2 linked regions of the Pelodiscus sinensis genome follow. The protein of the gene in region 1 binds, or shares a complex with, the protein of each later gene. Links are inferred from orthologs where the notes say so. Each region holds a gene or a part of one and is shown on either strand. Other genes may lie near its edges.

Region 1 (8,097 bases):
GTTTGTGGTTTTGGCTAGCTGTTCTTTAAATTTATTTGGCCTTCCGGATTATATTTTTACACTTCATTTAAGAGAGTTTAGGCGCCTTCCAATTTTCTTCACTACAATTTCACTTTCACTTTTTATCTCTCACTGTTTCTTTTACTTGATTGTTAAGCGTGGCACTTTTTTGTTCTGGTTTTTTTTTTTTTTTTTTTTTTTTTTGGTTAATTTGGAGTTTACATTTAAGTTGAGCTTCTATTATGAACTTTGAAAAGTTTCCATGCATCTTACATGGATTTCACTTATGGCACTGTAGCTTTTAATTTCTGTTTAACTAACCTCATTTTTGTGTAATTCCTTTTTCTGAAATTAAATGCCACAGTATTTGGGCTGTTACGATGTTTTTCCTGACACAGGAAAGTTTTTTTTAATATATATATTCTAGTCGCTATTTCAAAGAAATCCAGCTATTTTCACCTCCTGGACCAGATCTTGTGCTCCACTTAGGACAAAATCAAGTATTGCTTCTCCTCTTGTAGGTTTCAAAACCAGCCGCTCCAAGTAGCAGTCATTTAAGTTGTCAAGAAACTTTATCCCTTTATTGCATCCTGAGGTGAGGTGTACCTAGTCAATATGGGGATAATTGAAATCCCTCATTATTATTGAGGTTTTTTATTTTTATAGCCTCTCAGATCTCCCTTAGCATTTCATAGTCAATACCACCATCCTGGTCAGGTGGCAAGGTAATATATCCCTACTGCTATGCTCACAGTATTAGAGTGTGGAATTACTTTCCATAGAAAATGAGTTTGGTTCATTTACGATTTTTACTTCATTTGATTCTATGCATTCTTTCACATACAGTGCCACTCCTCTACCAGCACAATCTGTTCTGTTGTTCTGATATATTTTGTTCCCTGGCAGTACTGTATCCCATTGATTATTCTCATTCCACAAGTTTCTGTGATGCCTAATATATCAATATCTTCCTTTAATGTGAGGGACTCCAGTTCACCCATCTTATTATTTAGACTTCCAGTGTTTGTACAGAAGCATTTTTAAAATGTCACTATGTAGCTGTCCACCATTACATGATGTAATTGAATGGGACTCTTTTCAGTTGACCGTTTCTAATCAGATCTTACCCATATTTTATCATCTTCCATCCTCTCCTCTTTCTTAGGACATAGAGAATCTCTATTAACAGACCTTCCCTTAAAGGGATGTCTCTGTCGGATCCATGTGATCCTATGCACCTGTAGGCTTTCCCCCAACCCTTCATGTCAAGAAGGAAGCAAACTATCAAACAAAAACACTGTGCAACCCCTCCTCTTACAAATTCCCACCCAGATTTCTCTGTTTTCTGTGCTATTTGCTGGCTCCTGAGCTGCTACTGCACCCAGGAAGCAGTGCACTTGGCAAAGGACTTCTGGTCAGCAGCAATTGCAAACACAGCGCACTCACTGGCTGTGTCTAGACTGGCAAGTTGTCTAGACTGGCCGCTTGATTTTGCGCAAAAGCACTGACGTTCTGCTGTCCGAAATCAGTGCTTCTTGCGCAAATGCTTTGATGTTCCCGTTCGGGCAAACGCCATTTTCCGGAAATGCTTTTGCACAAAACGGCCAGTGTAGACAGCTGAAAACTGTTTTGCGCAAAAAAGCCCCGATGGCGAAAATGGCGATTGGGGCTTTCTTGCGCAAAACCACGTCTAGATTGGCACGGACGCTTTTCCACAAAAAGTGCTTTTGCAGAAAAGCGTTCGTGCCATCTAGACTCTCTTTTCCGCAAATGCTTTTAACGGAAAAACTTTTCCGTTAAAAGCATTTGCGGAAAATCTTGCCAGTCTAGACGTAGCCGCTGTGTATGCAGCTCAGCACTCAGAATAAAAGCAAGGGTTCAGTGACAAGCCGCTGTACTTGAACAAGGTGAGTTGCTTCCATTTCTTGGGAGTTGATTGGCTACCTTTGGAGTGGAGAGGAACAGGACACTCTCTCATGGGATTGAGAGAAATCACTGAGGGTATGTCTACACTACCCCGCTAGTTCGAACTAGCGGGGTAATGTATGCATACCACACTTGCTAATGAAGCCCGGGATTTGAATTTCCCGGGCTTCATTAGCATAAGCGGGGAGCCGCCATTTTTAAATCCCCGCTGCTTCGAACCCCGTGTAGCGCGGCTACACGGGGCTCGAACTAGGTAGTTCGGACTAGGGTGCCTATTCCGAACTACCGGTACACCTCGTTTCACGAGGAGTAACGGTAGTTCGGAATAGGACCCTAGTCCGAACTACCTAGTTCGAGCCCCGTGTAGCCGCGCTACACGGGGTTCGAAGCAGCGGGGATTTAAAAATGGCGGCTCCCCGCTTATGCTAATGAAGCCCGGGAAATTCAAATCCCGGGCTTCATTAGCAAGTGCGGTATGCATACATTACCCCGCTAGTTCGAACTAGCGGGGTAGTGTAGACATACCCTGATGGACTCTCAGGGTATGTCTACACTACCCTGCTAGTTCGAACTAGCGGGGTAATGTATGCATACCGAACTTGCTAATGAAGCCCGGGATTTGAATTTCCCGGGCTTCATTAGCATAAAGCTGGCTCCGCCATTTTTAAAAGCCGGCTAGTGCAAACCCCGTGCCGCGCGGTGTACAGATAGTTCGGAATAACTACGTAGTTCGAACTATCTAGCCCGTGCCGCGTGTAGCCGTGCGGCACGGGGTTCGCACTAGCCGGCTTTTAAAAATGGCAGAGCCAGCTTTATGCTAATGAAGCCCGGGAAATTCAAATCCCGGGCTTCATTAGCAAGTTCGGTATGCATACATTACCCCGCTAGTTCGAACTAGCGGGGTAGTGTAGACATACCCCCTGGGAATCCAAGCTGTGTCTATGCTGCAAAATGATGACATTTGGGCCTGAATCCTAGTGGGACCTGGGCTTGAATGCTTCACCTCTGCAGAGTCTTAGGGTACAGCTACACTGCACAGATGATTGAAGCTGCTGTTGTTGATCTTCCAGAGCTAATTAAGACAGATAATTCAAACTGTGAGGGACGCTCCAATTGATACTGGTAATCCTGCTTTCAAGAGGAAAAGGGAAGTGGAAGGAATAGTGTTCTTCCTTTGACTGCCTGCAGCGTAGACAGCTCCAAAAGTTGAGTTAAGCTACTTGGACTTCAGCTATGCAATTAACATATCTGAAGTTGGGTATCTTACTTTGACTTTGTCCCGTAGTGTAGATGTACCCTTTGGGTCCAGGCTAAGTCTGACAGAATTGTGTGTAGACAGAAGGGAGGATGTTGGATTCAAGCCTGAGCTTCTACTGTAGTGTAAACATTTCCTAACTAGCGTAACTAGAGAAAAGTTAAGAATGCCCAAGAGCTGTTTGGGACACAGGAATGTGAATGTTGAACCACTTAACTGGTAAAGTGGGATGTAATAGTGTAGTCGATTAACCGCTATAGACTACACGCATTTCCTACCACTTGCCAGTACATTTTTTAGCAGGCTGGCCTGCAGCCCAGCTCATTCCTGGTTTATGCCGGATTAGGGACCCACCCCCACTGCGGCTCTGCTTTTCAAGTGTATTAGGAGCCAGGCCGCCCGGCTCAGTTCCAGGAGCTGAGCCCCCCCAGTCCCTCAGACAGCCGGTCCATGAGGGGAGCTGGTTCAGGACAGACCAGCTCCCGCCTGGCGCCTGCGAGCAGCGTCCCGTGACGGGGGTTCACCCCTGGCTCCGAGCAGGGGCGGGTTCGATCCAACATGCCAAGTCCTGCTCCCCTGGGGTGTCCGGCTCCCGGGATGCAGAAGCACGAGGAGCCCCAAACCCTCTGGGTGCCCGAGGGGGGCGGGGGAGGGGAGCGAGGTTAATGAATGAACGGGGGGGGGCAGCCCCCCCCATCACTCCCGCCTCCTCCCGCGCCCAGCAGGGAGCAGGAGAGTTAAAGCAGCCAGCTTCTCTGCGCGGGGAGGGGGGGGGGGCGCGACGCTCCCGTCGCTCTAATTCGCGGCACATCTGTCAATCTCCCCGCGAGCCCGCCCCCGGGTCCCGGCCTGAGCCCCCCTCAGGGGGCCACGTGGGGGCGGGTTTGAGGCGCAGAAGCGGGCAGGGCCAAGGGGGCGGGGCCCAGGAGGCGGGCTCGTGGGGGCGGAGTTCGGGCCGAAGCGGAAGGCTCAGGGGACGGGCCCCGTGAGGGGGCGGGGCCAAGGCCTTAGTGTGAGCGCGTGGGGTTCACGGGGCGGGGCCAGTGCCCAGAGGGCGGGGCTCGGCGAAGGGCGGGGCTGGGGCCTAGGCGCGCGGCTCAGGGAGCGGGGTCAGAGCTGGGGGCGGGGCTCCTTGAAGAGAGGAGGGGGCTCGGGCCGAGGCGCACGGCTCAGGGGGCGGGGCCGGAGCTGGGGGCGGGGCTCGTTGCGACGAGGCGCACGGCTCAGGGGGCGGGGCCGGAGCTGGGGGCGGGGCTCGTTGCGGAGAGGCGCGCGGCTCAGGGGGCGGGGCCAGTGCCCACAGGGCGGGGCTCGGTCAAGGGCGAGGCGCACGGCTCAGGGGGCGGGGCCGGGGCCGGGGCCGGGGCCGGAGCTGGGGGCGGGGCTCGTTGCGGAGAGGCGCGCGGCTCAGGGGGCGGGGCTCGTTGCGGAGGGGCGCGCGGCTCAGGGGGCGGGGCCGGCCGGGCCGCGCGGGACTCGCCCAGGGCGCCGCCGCGGGTTGCTGGTAAACAGGCGCGCGAGCCGATGTCCGGGCGCGGCGCGTTCCCGCTCAGCCCCCTGCCGCCCGCCGCCGCGCCCCCCCCCGCCGCGGGGCCCGGCCTCATGCGGGGCCCAGGCCCGGCCGCCGCGGGGCCCGCCGGATACCGGGCCATGGGGCCCGCCGCCGCGGCGTACCAGGTGCGGGCCGTGGGGGGGCTGAGGGAGGGGAGGGGAAGGAGGTTTCTGGGGGGGCTGAGGGCACTGGGGGGTGGGGGAGGGGAGGAGGATGCTGGGGGGCTGGGGGTGGGGGAGGGGAGGTTTCGGGGGGCTCAGGGCACTGGGGGGTGGGGGAGGGGAGGGGAAGGAGGTTTCTGGGGGGGCTGAGGGCACTGGGGGGAGGGGAGGGGAGGAGGATGCTGGGGGTGTGGGGGGGAGGTTTCGGGGGGCTCAGGGCACTGGGGGGTGGGGGAGGGGAGGAGGATATTTAGAGGGGCTGAGGTCATGGGGGTGGGGGGGAGGTTACTTAGGGTTGCCGGGGGCTCAGCACCGAGGGACCATTTGTGATGTGGGGAGGGTGGGGGGGGACCCAGGGAAAGTGTCCAGTGGTGTTGGATGAGGGAAGTGGGGGGACCTGCTGTGGGCAAGTCTCCCAGAACAGTCCCTGGCCAGATACCATCTCCCGGCCTGTCCAGTGTACACCGCAGCCCTCCCTTGGGGATTGAAGCCCCCCCAAGGGAGGAAATTATTGCCAGTCCCATGCCCTGGGGGAGGGGGCTCTCTAGCTGGAGTGCTGCTGCTGCTCCCGGATGGGGCAGTGTGTCCCAGCTCTGGGGCAGCCTCTCTGGTAACTAGGGATGTTAAAATACTGTATGTTTATTCTGGTAAATGTGTAATCACTGAATATTTCAGTAGTTACATGGAGTGCTGGCTCCCCTTGAACACCGGATCCCACCTCCCCCCACTTCTCCCCGCAGCAGCACAGACAGGGCAGGGCCTGTGTGTAACCATGCACATAAACCCATGAGCCCAGGCTCATCAGTTAGCCATGTACACACATGCTCATCCCTGCTGGTAACTAGGTCTCTCACTGTTAGAACCGCAGTCCTTAAACCACGGAGGCACCAGGTATTCAATCTGACACTCAGCTTCACAAAGTGGCCATCTGCCTCTGGTTCCAGGTGTGCTCACAATGTGTGGCCCTACCCAGAGCACTAAGTTACACGGGGTCATGGCAGCATAGTTTGCATTTAAAAACAAATGCCATGCTCCTCATGCCAGGCACAGATGGATAAACGGAGTCATGGACGCAGCATTTGGTTCTCACAGCTGCCAGGGTCTAGTTAAAATAATGTGCAGCAGTAACCTAGGCTCAAGTAGACAGTGGTTATGCTGTTCTGCTTCTCCATTCTAGCTCGTTCCCCATAATGCAATTTAGAAAAAGTAGGGAAAGAGGCCTAATATGTCAACTGAAGAAGAGTCTGGAAAATTGTTCCCTAAGATTTGCCAGTTAGGTGGATTTACCAGAGGGCTGGATGTTGTCATTCCATTTACTAGTTTAAAAAAATGGTAGTACCAGTACAGCTTGTGGCACCATATTCTCCGAAGCAGTAGGGAACTTAGGAGAGAGATGAGACAGGGACTCATGGGAACAAGCTCATGCTTAATTTCCTTTTTCTGAATTTGGCTGAGATCCTTTTCAGATTGCTCCTGGTAGGAGCTGTCACTGGGTAGGTGGAGGGGGTTGAGAGACTGTTTTGGAGAAGATGAAATGGAGATGGTGGATTCTACTTGAAAAGTGACTGGATTAGATTGACTAGAAGCTTGGTGGTTTTTATGGTGCCTAAAATAGCAGTGTGTGTGTTTGGGGGGAGGGTTTCCTGCAAGAGAGTCATTAGAAAACAACAGGACAAGAGACAGATTCCTAATCAATTCTTTTCTTTGCACTTTTGGGGCCCCAATTGGTTCCCTGTACAAGAGTCTGGTAACTTCTAGGTTCTGTCTGCATTGCAGCTGGGAGCATGCTTAAGCTAGTGTACAGAAACTAGCTGTGGCCTAGGTGGTGATACAGGCTAGCCACTCAGATACAGACCCAGGGAGCTGGCCAAGCTTTTGCTCAAGGGGCTAGCCTATGGTGTAGCGTCCACACAGGTACTTCTGGTGTGCGAAGCTAGCACATGTCTGTGTACCCAGGCTGGGAGGCACACTTCCAGCTGCAGTGCAGACGTGCTTGCAGGCTGTTCGGTGTCTGTTGGCAGAGGGGTGGGATGGAGAACTAGGGTTGCTTTTCCTGAGGCGGGTGGGTGGGTGGGGGTGTGTGAGAGAGAGAGATACTGTAGTATTAGCTGTAGTACTCAATAGGAATGCTCTTGAATCCAGCCAACACTTATTTTTGTTTCTCCTACAAACTAATTGCATCAAACAGCTGTCTGCTTTCCCAGGTTCTAAGAGGGGGAGACACTGCGGGCTTGATTTGGCTATTCAGCAGCCCATTGGTGCTTCCTCTTCTAAGGTGGTGAGTTATGGACACACAATAGGTCATCACATAGCCCCTCTGCACCCTGTGGTGGGTGTTACAATCTGCTTTAGAAAAGGCTGGCCTGAGTTGCTTGGCTAAGGTTGGATGGCAGGCTGTCCTTGCCCAGTTTCCAAAAAATGCTATGGAAACTAACACATAACACCCTTGGTTCCGGGATTAACATCTCCTGAAGATGGTAACTGTTTGCAGTGCAGGATGATATTACAGGCTCTGTATTGTTAACTGAGAAATGTATTCTGTTCAAATCTTGTAGCATGTGATCAGGATGTTAAAGAAACTTTGTCTAGCTGCTGTTGCAGGCTTATCCCCTATTCAGCCTCTGTTTACGCCTTCTTTTTCCTGGTTCTGCATGGCTTTTAGCCACTTAAAGTCCATTAAAACGTTAGCAGATGACGCTGACTCACTTGTGGAGTTACTGTGCAAACACTCTGTCAGCATAGGATGGTGGCCTAGTTCTTCTGTAAACAGCCAGCAGGAACTGCTGCAGATGACTCCATATCAGGGGCAGCTCTAAGATTCACTTAGGATTCATGGGACAGTCATTCTGTTTGTGTGAAAACCAAGACAGCTAAGTGTGAACCACGTCGGGCAAAGATGGTGTTTTCTGCTGAAGCTTCTCTGTATTCCATTTCCCCTTTTGCAGAGTTGTGTCTCATTCATGCGTCTGTTTTGCAGGTAGAACAGTTATGTCCAGATTTTAGATTTTACTGCAAAAGTTTATCTAAAGGAAGTTAGATAAATAGTGGAAAATAATGAAGAGGGTGAGAAGGTTCCTGCTTAGTACCTGAAGCAGGGAATGGACACTGGGGACTCTGGAGAGGAGCTGGCCAGAAAGCAGAGAGACGGCAGAAGTTTGGGAGTCTGTGAATAAATTCTGTCTGCTGTCCAAGGCTTTCTTTGT
Region 2 (8,348 bases), on another chromosome or scaffold:
GTATACAAACAGCAGACCAGTGAGCCTGGCAGATGGCAGCTGTCCGGGGCTGGGCAAAGTGCCTCTCCTGACCATCAGCACCTGTACCCCACCCTGGTAGGAAGGCCTCCCCTTTCCTCTCCACCAGGTTATGGAGAACGCAACACGCGGCCACCACCTCAGGGATGTTGCTCTCCTCCATGTCTAGGTGTGTGAGCAAGCACCGGAATCTGCCTTTTAAACGTCCGAACGCACATTCCACCTGGTTGCGAGCCCGGTTAAGGTGAGCATTAAACTGCTCCTTGCTCGCATCCAGGTGGCCGGTGTAGGGCTTCATCAGCCACGGCATCAGGGGGTAGGCGGCATCAGCCACTATGCACACCGGCATGTGCACATCCCCAACCGCAAAGTTGTGATGCGGGAAAAATGTTCCTGCCTGAAGCCTCCGGTAGAGGTACGAGTTCCTGAAGATGTGGGCATCATGTGCCTGCCCTGACCACCCAACACAAATGTCAGAAAACTGGCCACGATGGTCGACCAGGGCCTGGAGGACCATAGAAAAGTAGCCCTTTCTGTTAATGAATTGGGCTGCTCGATGGGGTGGTGCACGGATTGGAATGTGTGTCCCATCGAGCGCTCCTCCACAATTCGGGAAGCCAAGGGCAGCAAAGCCAGCCATGACGCTGTCCAGATCTGGTAGACAGACGAGCCTGTTCAGCAGCTCCGAATTGATGGCCCTCACCACCTGCAGAAAGAGACAGACAACAAAATGTTAGAAGGGGTGCCTTATCTCTTAGGAGGAGAACCCACCACCCACCTTCCCTCTCAAACACCCCGGGAATCCCCTCCTCAGAACTCCCCCCCCCCAACAATTCAGGGTGAGTGGAGGAGCTCCCTCACACTCCACTTTGCCCTTCCTGACAGTCTCCCTTCCCCCCACCCCAAACTGTGACTGTCCCCAGACAATGACTTACCTCCATCAGGATGGATCCAACAGTAGACCTGCCCACTCCAAATTGGTGTCCCACGGAGCGGTAGCTGTCGGGGGTTGCCAGCTTCCAGAGGGCAATGGCGACCCTCTTTTCCACGGGGATAGCGGGCCGCAGGTGGGTGTCTTGCCGTTGCATAGCAGGGGCGAGCCAGGTACACAGCTCTTGGAAAGTGGTCTTTCTCATCCGGAAGTTGCGTAGCCACTCTTGGTCATCCCAGAGCTGTATAACGAGCCGGTCCCACCAGTCAGAGCTGGTGTCAAGCCTCCAAAAATGCCTGTCCACAAAGAAGTTTGGAGGCAAGGGCAGTGGGGCTACATGACGGACGATCCCTTCGTACCTCTGGTCTGGGTCCAGATGGGGAAGTAGCCTCATGACTGTGTCATGCAGATGCAGCAACACTTGTAGTATGATGGCGTGGGGCCATCGCCTGCCCAGGGGCAGCTCTGGCTCTATGCCGAAAAAACGGGTCTAAAACAGAAAAACCTCCAAACAAAAAACCTGCTGGGGTGTCCCAGGAAGCTGAGCACTCCAAATCAGCACTGCAATGCTTTGCTTACCTCCTAGAGGGACAGCAAAGGCAGCTGCAGAAGCAGAGCAACGGGTGTTCAGGGGCGTCCCTTTAACCACGCGTCTCTGCAAAGGGCAGGCAGCAGCACCCGGAAGGAAATGCTGCCCCCATGCCCTAGCAGAAGCGGTTCCAGGTGGCTTTTAATTTCGAAAGAGCGTCCAGCAGTCAGGACGCTCTTTTTCGAAAAAGCGGATCGATTTTCCGATCCGCGTATTGTAACACGAAATACTTTCGAAAAAGCCTCTTTCGAAAGAGGCTTGCAGTCTAGACATAGCCTTTGGGAAGAGAAAGACAAAACATTTCTGGAGTAGCTTTGTTTAACTTGTTGTTTTTCAGCCAGGGCTATGCATACCTCATTGATTTTCAGGGGTACGCAGACAAAGGTCTTTCAGGGGATACATTCATTCAGCTATATATTTGCCTAGTTTTACAACAGGCTATGTAAAAAGTACTAACAAACTCAATACAAACTAAAATTTCATACCAACAATGACTTGTTTATAGTGCTCTATACACTCAAATTTAAGTACAATATTTATATCCCAATTGATTTATTTTATAATTATATGGTAAAAAGAGAAAGTCAGCAATTTTTCAGTCAAAGATTGCTGTAAGACTTTTTTGTATTTTTATGTATGATTTTATAAGCAAATAGTTTTTAACTGAGGTGAAACTTGGGGATATGCAAGACAAATCAGACTCCTGAAAAGGGTACAGTAAGGTGGAAAGGTTGAGAGACATTTTAATTCAAATAAGAGCTGTCTGAAGTTGCTCAGGGGCTGAGAATGTTACAATAAATTCCATAGAGGTGGACTAGGAAGCACAGTACAACCAAGGCAGTGAAAGGGACACTAAGTTCTTTACTCACATAGTTTTGCAATTTATCCCATGGTTATAAAATGTATCATTATGCTGCAGTTTCTCAGATGTTTATCACCTTCATGCATGTGGTACCCATCAGTATGTAAATATAAATGTTATATAAACAAATCTATGGCCCCCTAGGGATGATTATGACTTTTCTATGTGACAGTTCATGGCCAGTAAGAATCTGTGACAATGGAGATAGAACCAATTTTCTCCTATACTTTGAGCTAAAGGAGAAAGGTTTTATCTTGCTGACAATGACAGAGTTAAGCAATTCTGATGCTATCTAGCATAAGCCATAGGTACCTGAACATACTATCCTGTTAATTTCTCTGAAGGACTATGTCACATATGCATTTACCAACAATTTGCAGTTAGCAGCTGACTTTCTCTATGGCCAAGAGGGAAGTGGCAGACATGAGGTTCCTAAGTCATATCCATTGCCTTCTGGGCCAATATTATATTAAACATTATTATAATGGGCTTTGGACTCTTTGACCCCATTCTTAATTCAGCCCTCTGTTCCAGAAGTGCTGCTGTCTCAAACCTCCTTTGAAACCCAGACATATCACAAAACATTCATACTTCCAACTTACCAAGTTCTGAATGAGTGAAAGCAATGGACCATGATCAGTGTTCCCTCTAAGGTGAATGGCTGCGCACAAAAAATTGTAAGCCTGCCCACCTCCTTTGCAGAGCTGTGCTGCAACACTCACCTTTCTATTGCACGTGGAAGGTGGCTGGCATGGGGCGGTGTGGCAGGTGGGGAGGGGACAGGCCTGCGCCCGGAGTCGCATTGGGGGGCAGATGCTCTGGAGGGCAGGGCTGCATTGGGGGCTGGCTACCACTGGGGACCACGTAGCAGGAAGGTTGCTCCTGCTGGGAGTTGGGACTGCAGGTGGGTGGGTTCCTGCTGCTAGGGGTTGGGGCTGTGGCCATGTGGAGGGCAGAAGCTTTCCATCGGCCCCGGATGGGGCCAGAGCCGGAGGCATGTAGAGGGTGGCAGGCAGGCTGCTCTGGTGGTCCCAGCCAGGGTCAAAGCTGGTGGCACCTAAAAGGCCTCTCTGAGGGTGTTCCTGGAGAAAGACTGGATCTTGCTCCTTCATGTATTGCTGGTGTCACTTTCAAACTCTGGGGGTGGAGTGTTTCCATACCAACTTGGAGCCTCTGTTGAAGGGATTCTTCATTCTAGTTATTAAAACAGAAAAGGGAAAGGTACCAAACAATTGAAATGGTCAGAGTTGAGAACAGATCCTGGATGTTAAGCCCTCTTGCTGAATATGCTTAATGAATGGGTCACTGCCCAAGAGTCTATGCCATAAGCATGTCTGGCACTAAGAGCTGAACTGTGTCTTTTATTGCAGCCTTGAAATGTAGGAGATACTGTGTATTGTGAGCTGGAGGAGAGAAGGTAGGACTATTGCAATTTGCTTTTATCTGTACCCAGCTCTGCTGATGACTTTCTGTATGACTTCTGGCAATTTATTGAATAGTCCGTGTCTCAGTTTCCCTGTCTATAATATAGGGACATTGTGCCTCAAAAGCATTACAGAAAGTTCGGGATGCCTTGTTCATTTAATGTGGGCAAAGTGGAATGAGACTGCCAGTGCAAAGGGGAAACAGTTCTCGGCTACATTGAGTGCCTAATCTTGCCTTAGTAGGTCAAGCTATAGGCTTCCTACCCATTGCCAAATCATGCCACCCCTGCCCTCATCTTAACACCCTCAGGCCCCCTTGGCGGGAGCTGCAAGAAAACAGAAGGGGGACCTTTGAGAGGTACAGAAATGTTGTAAGGCAAAACCTACATTGATGTCTGACAAGAAGAAACTGCTTAAATCTGAGTGTGATCTACCTTCTGCTAGATCAACACTGGTGTAACTTCACTGATTGTGGTGAGGTTCCTTCTGATTTACAGTGGTATGAGAGCAGAATTAGCCACTTCTTGAGTGTCTTAGCTCATGCAGGCTAATTCATTTGCATACTCTTTTTTAATTAGTCGAAGATAAACTCTGACTTCCTGGAGTTAGTGCCTCTCCCAGAAATGGGCATTTAACAGCTGTATCTGTTCCAGGATTCTTGACTCCAAGTCACTCTGCTACCATGAAAGTAAGTGTCATATGAAATGTAGATTAAAATCCTCCCCCCTCCCTCTCTCCATGTTGAAAGATCAGAGGCCCAGGTCTCAACATGTTAGACAGGACAATCACTTCAGAAGTTGCTTTGTGGGAAAAACAGAGAACAGGCAGGCAGGCAGTTTGGCCACTGTGCATTATGTAACCAGTGCACTGGCTGCAGAAGCTGGATGACTGACATTGAGAAATTCCTAGGGGAGGGGGAGAGGGTGCTGCCCTGGAGTCACTGTAAGCACTAGGAGTTCCAAGAAGCCTAAAGGGGAAAGTGGCTTCAGGTAAAGGAAAACACATTGGGAATAATAAAGCTCAAGAATCTACTGCACCAAATGTCAGTACACCTGTAGTTTATTTTCCTGATGAAATGGCATGCATCCAACCCTTGCACATGAATAAGGGGACATGCCATTTGGGAAATGAAAGGCAGGCACAGCAATCCACAAAGACAAGGTATTCACCCTCATTCCTTTCTCTAGATTTCTTGACATTAAAGAGTCAGATAACTCCAAAGAGTCTTCTGTTCCACATCCTAGCCCCCCTCACTCTAGTTCGGTGTAGTGACAGTCCCTAGTGTAACTGCCCCTTTAAGACCTGCTCTCTTCCAGTTCCACAGAAAGGGAGTGACCTCTGGGCTTTGACAGCTCCCCTAATAACTAGCACAGCCCTGGCTCCGCCCCCAGCGCCGGATTGGGCGGCAGGCCGGTATCCCGTCTTCTGATTGGCTGGCCGCTTCCCCTAAGCGAACCTTTAGAACTCTGAGACACAATATTCTGTTACATTGTAGCAAAATGGCGACTGTCATTCACAACCCCCTGAAAGCGTAAGTAGGAATCAAAAATGTACATATTCCGCGTGGTTTAAATATGAAAAAAGGCGCCTTTCCGATGCTGCTGCCAGCCTGAGCCCGGTGCCTCCAGCCTCCCAGCTGATCTCTCCTCCCTCCCTCTTGCCTTTCTGAGCTCCTCTCTTTTTGTGCAACACACACGGGCGTCTTGCACTGAAATTAACAAAAAGAAATTGTTACATTTGGATTGTGATTAATTGGCTGGCCGAGAGGGAGGGAGAGTGGAGCTCTGAAGGGGAGGATGGCAGCGGGGCTTCTGGCAGCTCTCGGGGCTGCGGGGATCTCGGAAACGGCTAGGTCCTGCAGGACCCCTGAGGAGGGGCTTGCACTTGACAGAGTCCTGAGCCTGTTGTCCGGGCTGTCTCCCCCCGCCACCAACTCCGTGTCCACGGGAGAGGGATCGGTCCTGGAAGCCGGGAGCAGAACTGTCTGTGTTGCAGCGCTCCGACAGCAGTTCGGAGTTTTCTTTTGCAAAGCTTCTAGGAGTTGGGATGAGTTGAAAAGGAGGAAAGAATCAGCCACAGCGTTTGCTGGCTCGGGAGCAGAAGGGGCTGCACCGCTCGTTTCCTAGCAGGGCAGCAGGGGCATTGCAATTACACTTCGGTCTGTGTGCGAGGACTGGAGAGCCGGACTTGCGCGGAATGAATGACTCGGGGTCACTGCTGGGTGCTTTTTAGGCAGGAAGTCTAGAGAGCTCGTTGCCTAGGGGAGGTTTTCTCTTTTGAAAGTGGCAACGAGAGTTGATTGTGTTTCCATCTTGGGCTGGACACACTGGTCGCCGAAATCTGCCCGGATGTAAATGAGAAGCCGAATCTGGCCAGCTGTTTGCTGAGAGATACAGGCGCAGAGTATTGGGACAGGTGCCTCTGCTCTAGAAATATGCTGGGTTCTCCGATCTTGTATTAAGGCGGATTTAAGAGAGGCACACAGGAGCTAGGCATTTTTCTCTGGATCAGGTCCCTCATTTCCTTGTGGCCTGCAGCACACACCGTTAATCCCTCTAGGCATTAGGGAGAGGGGGATTTGGCACCGTCTGTGGGGGAGAAAAGGGGCTGTCTCAACCTTTTAAAAATGACTTCTGTGCTAGGGGGCAGCGCTTGCTAATAACACAAGACGCTCACAATGCAAGAAAGCGGCGTACCTGGGGGAGACACTTCATTTGGACTTCCCAGTCACACTGCGTGGGTATTTTATCCGTTTGAGGTCGTAGAGATGTAATTCCGACTCTGAGCTGTGTCTTTTCAATTAAACTTTCCGATTGGAGTTGGGAAACCACTTGGAGGTTTTTCCCGGGGATTCCAGCGGGGTTGTCTCTGTGCTGTGCAGCAATCTGGAGGAAGGGGAGCTGTACGCCGGGAGGGGGTACACGCACAGCTGTCAGATTTGCATCGCTCCTTCTCCATTTTGGCATCAAACGTTTGTCTGCCATTAAATAGCCTTTCATTTAGCAAATGGTAAAAATCGGTCGAGAAGGGGGAAGTGCCCTTAGAACAGGGCTAGCATAGGAGTAGTAGCTGTCTTTTGGGGAGAAAGACAAAACCCGGTGAATATGTGTGTGGAGTATACAATGTGCCACCAATCAGATTCCATATGTTATAGTTGTCCCAGTGAGAACAACTTCTTAACGCGCCTCCCCCCGCATTCTGCAGCTTAAATCAGTTTAATGTTTCAATTAAAAAATAAATCTGAGTTAGATCAGTCCCGTTCATTGCCAGAGTAACTTCCTGAAAGCACCGTAAGTAACTCTCCGGTATACTTTGTCTCTCTACACATATAACACAGCGAGCGAGGGTATCTTTAACTGGACCAACTTCGGTTGGTGAGGGAATGCATTGTCCTAGGGGTCCGTTTGGTGTGGAGCGACATGCCCTGTGTCTGGATGTGACGACGGCACTAGGATTCCTAACAATGGAGGTCGGGGCTGGTTTTCTTTCGGCAGAATCATTCATTTGTTGTGGGAGGCGAGCTTCCTAAAAAGCAGCCGAGGAGTCTCACGTGGCGGGGCGCGGGGCGGGTGCGTGGAGCGCGAAGGGAAACCTGGTTCTGCGCTGGCTGACACGGGTGCAAATGAGGAGTCACTCCACATGGAGTGACGGGGGCGGGAGGAGATTTCAGCGTGGGCTGTCCCTTACCGAACGACACTGTTCTGTTTTGTGTTAGCTTTGTACGTTCTCTAATTGTGGAACATGACACACTCACACCTGTGATTTACTTCTCCCTTACGTACTAAATCCTGCCTAGTTTGGACGGGTAGTTACATTCTTTTGAAGCTCGGCCCTGTTCCTACTGAAGTCAATGGGAGCAGGAGCAGGTCTGTTATAATTAGCCCCCTTTTCCTCCCCCTCCCCCTGGGGTGAGAAGAGAGGAAACAATAGACCTCAAGTGCAGGGTTTGCTTTTCTCTGTGCGCCTTTTTAAGTACCACTGCTGGGTAGGGGAAACAGGACTGTCACTGGCTGTCTGACACCATCTGTCTTTTTTTTTTTTTTTGAACAACTTGTTTAATAAAACATTCTATAATTTCCATTTATTGTTACAAGTTGCTGATCAGGAAACAATACACATGTAAATAAATTATGCAAAGGATAAATTAGAAGCAAAAGCATTAAGACACGTAATAGGGGGGAAAGGATGCTTTGCACAGTGTTTTATCCTCATGTGTCCTTCCTGACAATGAAAGGGAGCTGAATGACATTTGCATTTCCTCTGTCTGCGTTTTGATTGTGTCTCTTAAAAAAAAAAAAAAAAAAGACAGACGCCCCCTACAGAAACTGGCCACACAAAGATTTTGCTCTGAGATGGGGGACAATGTAGCTACTGTAGATTGAAATACTAGCTCAGGTATTGTGAACTGCCCCATGTATTTTTATTTATTTATGTATGTATAATATTCTTTTAGCTCAATTACATAGACACATATGCTGCTCTGTGTATACTATTCTAGTTCTCCTGGAATAATATTTTTCCAGT

Evidence for each region.
Region 2: SMARCD2 (region 1) and DPF3 share a complex: the UniProt entries of both Homo sapiens proteins name them as parts of the BAF complex. The link is inferred for Pelodiscus sinensis from reciprocal best matches to the Homo sapiens genes SMARCD2 and DPF3.

Annotation. Positions count from the first base shown.
Region 1 is NW_027466048.1:881,731-889,827, forward strand, and holds the start of SMARCD2 (SWI/SNF-related matrix-associated actin-dependent regulator of chromatin subfamily D member 2), read left to right. Parts: upstream 1-4,628; 5' UTR 4,629-4,705; coding exon 4,706-4,858; intron 4,859-8,097. UniProt on the Homo sapiens protein: Involved in transcriptional activation and repression of select genes by chromatin remodeling (alteration of DNA-nucleosome topology).
Region 2 is NC_134714.1:68,030,900-68,039,247, forward strand, and holds the start of DPF3 (zinc finger protein DPF3), read left to right. Parts: upstream 1-4,944; 5' UTR 4,945-5,323; coding exon 5,324-5,355; intron 5,356-8,348. UniProt on the Homo sapiens protein: Belongs to the neuron-specific chromatin remodeling complex (nBAF complex).